Coturnix japonica: one gene and its partner. The main gene of each other region encodes a partner of the protein of the gene in region 2 in a complex. Links are inferred from orthologs where the notes say so. Each region holds a gene or a part of one and is shown on either strand. Other genes may lie near its edges.

Evidence for each region. Proteins that work in one complex are often made in the same cells at the same time.
Region 1: RUVBL1 (region 2) and ASDURF share a complex: the UniProt entries of both Homo sapiens proteins name them as parts of the PAQosome complex. The link is inferred for Coturnix japonica from reciprocal best matches to the Homo sapiens genes RUVBL1 and ASDURF.

Annotation. Positions count from the first base shown.
Region 1 is NC_029522.1:4,422,737-4,427,042, reverse strand, and holds the start of ASDURF (ASNSD1 upstream open reading frame protein), read left to right. Parts: upstream 1-1,307; 5' UTR 1,308-1,374; coding exon 1,375-1,437; intron 1,438-3,314; coding exon 3,315-3,368; intron 3,369-3,902; coding exon 3,903-3,978; intron 3,979-4,306.
Region 2 is NC_029527.1:7,146,490-7,150,790, reverse strand, and holds the start of RUVBL1 (ruvB-like 1), read right to left. Parts: upstream 2,815-4,301; 5' UTR 2,564-2,814; intron 1,720-2,563; 5' UTR 1,681-1,719; coding exon 1,633-1,680; intron 982-1,632; coding exon 849-981; intron 1-848. UniProt on the Homo sapiens protein: Possesses single-stranded DNA-stimulated ATPase and ATP-dependent DNA helicase (3' to 5') activity; hexamerization is thought to be critical for ATP hydrolysis and adjacent subunits in the ring-like structure contribute to the ATPase activity.

The DNA of each region.
Region 1 (4,306 bases), on a different chromosome or scaffold from region 2:
AAAGAATACAATCAGGAAAAATAAAAATAAAAATAAAAGATTTTTATGAACACAAGACACTTCTGTATTCTTAAGTCCTGCCACACCATCCATATGGCATTTCCTATGTCAGATATCTCTTACACTTCCATCTGCTACAACCTTTCATAGCATCTCAAGCTCTTACTGTACACTTACCAATTTCACTTGCACATGAAGAAATAGCAAGTTGGACCTTGCCGTGTATCAGCCCGTCCAGACGCTCTCCATGCCTTTCCACACAGTGGATTTACAGCAGTCTCCTTCCTTCACTGAGGGCTACACAGGCTGGACGTGCAGCATTTCTGTTCTACTCATAATGTCAGCACTGTCTCACACGATGTGTCGTACTCTTTTAGTCCTACTGTTTAAGTGTATTTTGGAACAGCCAGGTTGAGCCGTCTCATCTCATTGATTCTGTTTCCACACCAAGAAGACACACTGCTACTTGCATCCTAAGCTAAAGCACTACTACTACTTGGAAGATGGCACAGAAGGATGAAGCATTCACTTATCATCTTTGGTTAATGTAGCAAGACAGATAATGAAGGTTCCAACAGAATCATAGAATGACCCGGGTTGGAAGGGACCTCAAGGATCATGTAGTTCCAACCCCCCTGCCTGGCAGGGCCACCAAACATACACCTTTACTAGATCAGGTTGCCCAGGGCCCCGTCCAACCTGGCCTTGAACACCTCCAAGGACGGGGCATCCACAACCTCCCTGGGCAACCTGTTCCAGGGCCTAACCACTCTCCTAGTGAAGAACTTCCCCCTAACATCCAACCTAAATCTTCCCTCTTTTAACTTAAAACCATTTCCCCGTGTCCTGCTATTATCAGCCCTTTCGAAGAGTTTACTCCCCTCCTGGCAGTAAGTTCCCTTCAGGTACTGAAAGGCTGCAATGAGGTCACCCCGCAACCTTCTCTTCTCCAGGCTGAACAAACCCAACTCCCTCAGCCTGTCCTCATAGGGGAGGTGCTCCAGCCCCCTGATCATCTTCCTGTCCCTCCTCTGGACCCTTTCCAAAATCTCCATGTCTTTTTTGTACTGAGGGCTCCACACCTGGACACAGCACAACAGATGAGTAGAGCTCAAGCAGGGGACTAACGGGAAATGTCTCCATGAATCAAAATACTATCAAAGATCCGACAACAAGGCAGCCGGTACTGAAGGAAAATGGTCTCATTGCTCCACAGCCACTACGGCCATAACTCCACCTCAGCCATACGCGCCTAACAGCCGCTCTGCTGTACGCATGCGCAGTCGCTGCAGTTGTTTGGAGCCCACAGCGTGAGGCGCAGCCGTTGTGCGTATATTGCTGTGCGACGGCAGCGGCCGGCACTGCGAGCTGGGGATGTCGCGGCGGGAGGAGGAGGAGAGCGCCGAGCTGGGCCGTAAGGAGGAGCTGAGCCGGAGGGTGAGTTATGGAGGGTCTGAGGTGCTGCCCTGCGTCTCATAGTTGTGTGTGGGAAGGAGGAGGGTGTGCTGGAGGCTGAGCTGCGCTGTGGCCCAGGTGAAGGTGTGGGGGAGCTCGAGTGTTGTGAGCCCTTCTGGCGAGTTCCCTTCCCGTTTTTAGTGTTGTGAGATGGGCTGTGTGTGATTAGTCGAAGGAGAATGTGGTTCTCTGGGTTTGTTGAGCAAGTCGTGAGGGAGTTTAGTGAGGAGGCCAGCTTTAAAGCTGGGCTTTTCGTAGTGGCAGTCTTGTCTTTGTTCAGTGTGAGTTCTGTACAGTCCTGGTCAGTTGTCCTCGCATAAAAAGTGACTTTATTCTTCTACACTAATATCGCAATAGATTAGTGTTGTTCTCTAGTTGATTGGTTACATAAGAGACTAAAGAGAGCAACTGCATCAGCACAACACAGCGTATTAGCTGCGTGGCTGAAATGCCTGGTTCTGCTTTGCATCACAAGACTGCACTGTGTTCTTGTCTGTTTCAATAACTATCATAGTATGCTGTTGTAGCTGTTGGTGAAACAGCATTTTCTCAGTTCAGTTTGCCTTATACAGCCCTGTAGTTATTTCCATCTGCGCCAATTCCAGGAGGCAGAAAGGAGGACCGGAGTAAGGTGTGTTCTGTGCTTACAGAAAGTAGTGTGTGTTGAACCACTTTAGCTTTGTGTTTCAGCTTTTTTGATGGGCCCTGATTGCTCTTTGTCTTTAATGGCTCTTTGTCTTTAGTGGCTGACGTTGTCCAGGGAAGCAGGAGCATTGGACTGTTTGTGTCAGTGCAGCTGAACTGATGGCGGTAGATGCAGCATGACAACTTTGTGCTAAAAGTCCAGTGTACTGGAAGTGTTTCTAATTATCTTAATACAGTTTTGGGGTTGTTTTATACATATTTATTTATTTGGGGGGGGGGGGGGGGGTTATTGGTTATGTAGGTTTTTAATTGTTTCATTTACTGTTTTCATTTTGAATCTGGAGAATAAGATTATAAAGTGTATTGTGTAGGTAAATCTTTTCTCTAAGTTGCGTAATCACAGAATTATCAAGGTTGGAAAAGACCTAGAAGATCATCTAGTCCAACCGTTACCAATACTTCCCAGCTAAATCATATTCATCAACACAACATCCAGACGTTTCTTGAACACTCCCATGGTCGGTGACTCCACCACCTCCCTGGGCAGTGCATTCCAATGCCTGACTACCCTTTCTGAGAAGTAATACTTCCTAATGTTCAGCCTGAATCTCCCCTGGCACAGCTTAAAACCATTCCCTCTAGTTCTGTCATCTCTTACATGAGAGAAGAGGCCAACCCCCAGCTCACTACAACCTCCCTTCAGGAAGTTATAGAGAGCTATAAGGTCTCCCCTGAGCCTCCTCTTCTCCAGGCTGACAAATGTTAATAGTTGTTTATACGTTTGTTTTTTTGGGGGAGGTTGAGGGTGAAGTGATTTTGGATTCTGAGCAGCGAGGAGTACTCTGGCTTCCCAGTAATGACTGCTTTGGGGGGATGGGAACAGTGTCAACCATGCAAGATAATTCCCTTCCAAAGCAGTTATTTAGAGTGCTTCATTGTCTTATTGTTGAATTCATAACTTAGATTTCAATAAGAAGTGTGTTAAATGTAATTCAGTTATGTGGTCCGAAGACTTGTTGTATGCTTGGAATAATGGGTAATGAAATTTCTTTTTCATTCCTGTGTCCACTTTCATTTTAGTGGTCTGTTCAGGGCACAGTGACTTATATTTTTATAGCTGTCTTAAAAACATGGGTAAAGATTTTAATCTCCAGGACTGCAACACAGTAGTTTATTGTTGACAATTATATTGAGATGTGTTTTTTCTCTTTCAGATTAAGGAACAGAAGGTTGTAGTTGATGAGCTTTCGAATTTGAAGAAGAACAGGGTAAGCATTAAAGTTTTTTCTGCTTACTTCATTTTAGCATCAGATAAATTTGTATAGAGGCAAGAGGGCAAACAAAATTGCAGTGAGTACATTATCTTTAGTTGTTACACTAAAGATTTTAATGTGTATATGATCTTCTGTATGGTGTCAAAATGTTGTCTACATCGCTTGAGGGTTTACTTACACTTGTGCATTGTAACAGGAAGCTGTCTCAAGGTTTTACTTTAGCACAATTTTTATATTATGATGTTTGAGTGGATCAGTTTATGTTAAAAGCTTCTTTATTTTTCATGTGCATATGATGTAAAACAAAATATGACCCTTTAAGTATGAGGAAAGGAGGAAAATGCAGAATGGTTGTGGGTTGTTCCTGAAATGTTTTGGTGCGACATGAGGACATTGCTCATGGCAGAGAAGGTATCTTTCAGACATAAAAGGGAAGGGTATCTCAGTGGACTTCAGTGAGTTTCTGCTGCAGTGTGGTTGCCTGTGTATGCTACTTTTACTTAATGTGGTGTTGTATTTATTTTACAGAAAGTTTATAGGCAGCAACCCAATAGCAACATATTCTTCCTTGTAGACCGAACAGAAACACTGTCTCAATGCAAAAGTAAGTTTGCTGCACCAAAGGTAATAGTTCAACTGTTTAAAAGCTGTCTCTGTAGCTGTTGAAGATTTCCAAGTTGTAGTACAGTGGGAAAGCTGGCAACTGCATGTTAAATACCAAGTGGACTTCAGTTGTGCCTGCTTTTCTGGGCTGAATGAATGTGGTTCCCACTTGATTTGCATGTGTGGTAAAACAGCATGTGCTGAAGATACAGGAGGGAGTCCTTCCACAGAGGAGTCGCTTTTCTTAGTGCCCTTTGGGAAGCTCTGTGTGCTCAGTTCTCCTCCTTCTGTTTTTTAATTATTAACCCTTAGGAAACTGAAAGTGAAGC
Region 2 (4,301 bases):
CCCTGCCAGATTCATGGTAACTAGACCAGAGACTACTGAAGGTTTTTCTTATGAAAATGAATGGAATACTTTTACTTGGTTGCAGAACTGAGAGACCTCTTCACCACCCCCAGATACTCAGATGAAGTCAGAGAGGAAACACGGCAGAGAAATCAGGGAAATTAACTGTTAATAAGTTCAGTTTTTCAGTTAGGTCATCTTTAGGCAATCCTTACACAAACAAGGGCCATTTTAACCGCATTTATCAGCTGTCAGCAGAGATCATAAAAGAGATTTTAACTACTTAGTGAGGTCGCGTTGCAAATTTACCCAATTTACGTTGACTTTGTAAAAGCACTCTAGAATTGAGGAAGATATTGAAGATATTATTTATTTTGCTGGCATGGAACTTCCTCTGTGCTCACTGGAACACTGAGCCAGGCTAATGCTGCCACTTGGGAACCCCTCGAGAAGGCTGCTTGCTCAGCAAGGTGGAATCACTAAAGTACAAGGGAAAGCATTTTGCTGTCTATAAGCATTTCTGCTAATGTAAGAAACTAAAAACAGATTTTCTTTCAGATTTCTGGAGTGTCACAGGTGGCATCAGGAGGTGGAACCTGGAGGACAAGAAGAGATCCTGGGGGAGGAGAGTAAGTAAAAATATCTGTGGGACACAAGCATTTATATCCAGAAAACCTTACTGACTCTACTAAGTGTGGGAGAGATTCCCCAGTTTAAGATCAGCATTGAAGAAAAGTTCACATCATGTTCTGGAAACCACCGTGACCACCAAGATTTTTCCTTTTCAGATCACTAGAAAAAACAATGTAAGTATCACATAAAAACGTTTCTGTTTTTCTGAAACTTACCAATTGCTCGTCTGAAGTTTTCCATCAGAACTTCTGTTTTCTTGATTTCAGTAGAATAGACCTCACTTCCAACCATAGGACAAAAGGGAACTTTACTGCCAAGTTCCTGAGCAATAGCTAAAGCCAAGGCAGTCTTTAAAAATGGAAAAAGAAATTAAGCATTTCATTTTTATGAGGATTCTTTCTGCACTAAGTTAACTTTCCTCATCGTATCACCTTCACTCTATCAACTACTACTACTATACTATAGTATTATATATATATATACATATATATACTATATTATAACTGCTCTGACATCTCTCACATATAACAAACATCTCCCACCAAAACAAATTAGACACGCATAAGGTGACTTCTACCAATGACTTATAAACACTGTAAAGGAATGATAGTGGACTTCTGAATTTAACATCTTATAGAAATGAGATGGAAAGGGAAAAACAACTAAAAAGAATAACTATTTAGGCTTTTAATATCGAATTAACTTATAAGACTAATCAGAAACTGTCCTGCCTCTGTGTTTGGCAACCTATATTAGGTGCTTTCGCACTAATGATGGCTGCACAAACCAGAGGATGCTGCCAGTGCTAATGACGTGGCAAAAATTAAACACAAAACAGGAGACTGTGTCAATACCTTAATGGAGGAAAAAAAACACAACAGCAGATGAAGACAATATATAACCGCTATTCTAAAATGCTTGTGGCAGCACGTTAAATTACAGCGGATTTCAGAAGGTTTTATTTCTTGCAAGAAAAGGAAAATAAAAATATCAGGATACCTTGCCAGTTCCAGGAGGTCCTGCCAACAGGACAGCTCTGCCAGCCATCTTCTTGCTTTTGATGAGCTCTACTATAACCCCACAAGCCTGCAGGATAAGGGTTGGCACCATTAACAAGAGTACTGTTAAAATACATTTAATTCCAGTGATACTAGAAGTGTTTAGAACTACTGATCTTCTGAGGTGCCAAAATTAAACTGCAGTTCAATGTTATACATAGGAGTGAGGTAAGAAAGAAATCACTTCCTGCAGTCCCTGTATCTGGCACATTAAAGAAATAAATCAAACAGAACTCAAACCAAAGAGCTGGGGATCTTTTTCCCCTTGCAGAGCTGCACGCAGGTATCAAAGCCTAAAAACAGAGCAAGAGGGGAGTAAACTCTTGGAAAGGGCTGATAATAGCAGGACACGGGGAAATGGTTTGAAGTTAAAAGAGGGAAGATTTAGGTTGGATGTTAGGGGGAAGTTCTTCACTAGGAGAGTTCAGGTTAGGGCCCTGCGAAACCAGGCTGCCCAGGGAGGTTGTGGACTGCCCCATACCTTGGAGGTGCTTGTCAAGTGACCCAGCGTTGCTGACGGCGGACCTGTTGCGGGGCAACCTGATCTAGTAAAGGTGATATATGATTTTGCGTGGCCCTTCCACGGCAGGGGGTTGAAACATGATCCTTGAGTCCAGTCCCTTCCAACCCGGGTCATTCTGTGACAAACCCCCACCCGGCCTGTCGCGAGCGGAGCAGGCGGACTTGGCTGGGCCCTGCACCACCTCACGGGCACCAATCTTTGAAGTGGAGCCTTAAAACCCTGTAGATCGTTTATCCGACAATCCAGCGAGTAGTAACGGGCGAATCTCACAGCCCGGGCCTGGCGCTCTATGATCGGCGGCCGTGCCAGCCCGCGAGCAGTGCGCCAGGTGCAGGGGCCCATCTCTCACCTCCCGCGCGTTCTCCTGTCCGCACCAGGCGCGGCGGCCCGCCGGTTTGGCGGAGTGCCGCCGTCTCGTCGCAGCCCCCGGAGGGCCCAGTTAACAGGCTGTTGTGCTGCGGATTGCCGCGGATGCGTCTGTCGCAGGTTGCTCGGTTCACCTCCTCGATCTTCATCGGCGCCACGGGTCTCCCTTCTCCCTCACGTCCACCCGCGCATCACGCGGCCCGCGCGTTACCAAGGCCTACGCCGGCGCGCGGCCTCCTCGGGCTCCCCCGCTCCCGCGCGTCTCGTCAATTGGCCCTGCGTCTGCCGCGCCTCGCGCGGCTGTTGTGATGGTGTCTGCGGTTAGGCGTGACCTGTTCACCGGACGAGCTGCAGCGGCGGGCCTGGCGATACATATTTGAGAGTGTGTGGGCCGTCTGTCGCCGCATTCCGTCGGCTGCGCTCTCGACTCAAAGCGGTCCGGCGTGCGGCGGCGAGGTGCGGGGGAGGGTGGGTGTGGGGAGATGGGCCGGGACCGAGCAGGGGCCGAGCCTTTGGGTGGGCTTTGCTGTCGTCCTGCCTTTACCAGTGTGTTAATTTAACCACTGCTGGTTAATTTTTAACCAGCAGTTATTTACGTTTTACGTGCCCACGGCAATATCTGAGCCTTTAACTTCGCCTTTTTTATAACAGTATAATATAGCGACGGACAGCTCCTCCCCACGTCGAGAGTACTGATAAACTGAGGGGGGAAAACAGTTGTTCGGGGGGTCGTGTCTCATCTCCACACCCTCAGAGCTCCCTCATGTAACAGATCTCCCACCACCATGGCTGTGGGCTCTGCTGTAGTGTTACTGCACCTCTTATGTGGTCCATCAGTGCTTGGGGTGGAAATGCTGTGAAATCTCAGAGGGCGTTTCAGAGCCTGGCTGCCATCCAGTGCGTTCTTCTCTGTTGGTAGATTCTGGGCGAGGAGATGACTCATGGAATTAGTTAAGGTTGGAAAGATTGCCATGAGTGTTTCATCGTAATATCCAACCACGGACCCATGGCACTATGGCCTGATTGCCACCATCCCTGCAGTTACCACATCTGGCGCACGGCGTTCTGGGTATGCGTCAATTCAGAATCGACAGAATGACGGCCGGGTTGGAGGGACCTCTAAGGATTCATTGTAGTTCCAACCCCCCTCGCCTGAGCTGAAGCGGCCACCAAATCTGATCACCAACGCGTTTACTAGGCGATCAGGTTGCCCAGGGCCCCGTCCAACCTGGTCTTGAACACCTCCAAGGACGGGGCATCCACAACCTCCCTGGGCAGCCTGTTCCAGGGCCGAACCACTCTCCTAGTAAAGAACTTCCCCCTAACATCCAATCTAAATCTTCCCTCTTTTAACTTAAAACCGTTTCCCCGTGTCCTGCTATTATCAGCCCTTTCGAAGAGTTTACTCCCCTCCTGGGAGTAAGTTCCCTTCAGGTATTGAAAGGCTGCAATGAGGTCACCCCGCAACCTTCTCTTCTCTAGGCTGAACAAACCCAACTCCCTCAGCCTGTCAAGGAACAGCCTCCAGGGATAGTGTCTGTACCTCTCCCTGGGCAGTGAGTGAGAAGAAATTTCTCCTTGTATCTACTCTGAAAGAGGGGAATCTTTTCTCACTAATACATCGTGTTTGATGATAAATGCTGTGTCGATGTCCTAATGCTCAGCATTAATGGGCTGACATATTGTGCTGCTGCTGCTGCCAAAGCAGTTGTGCAGTGATC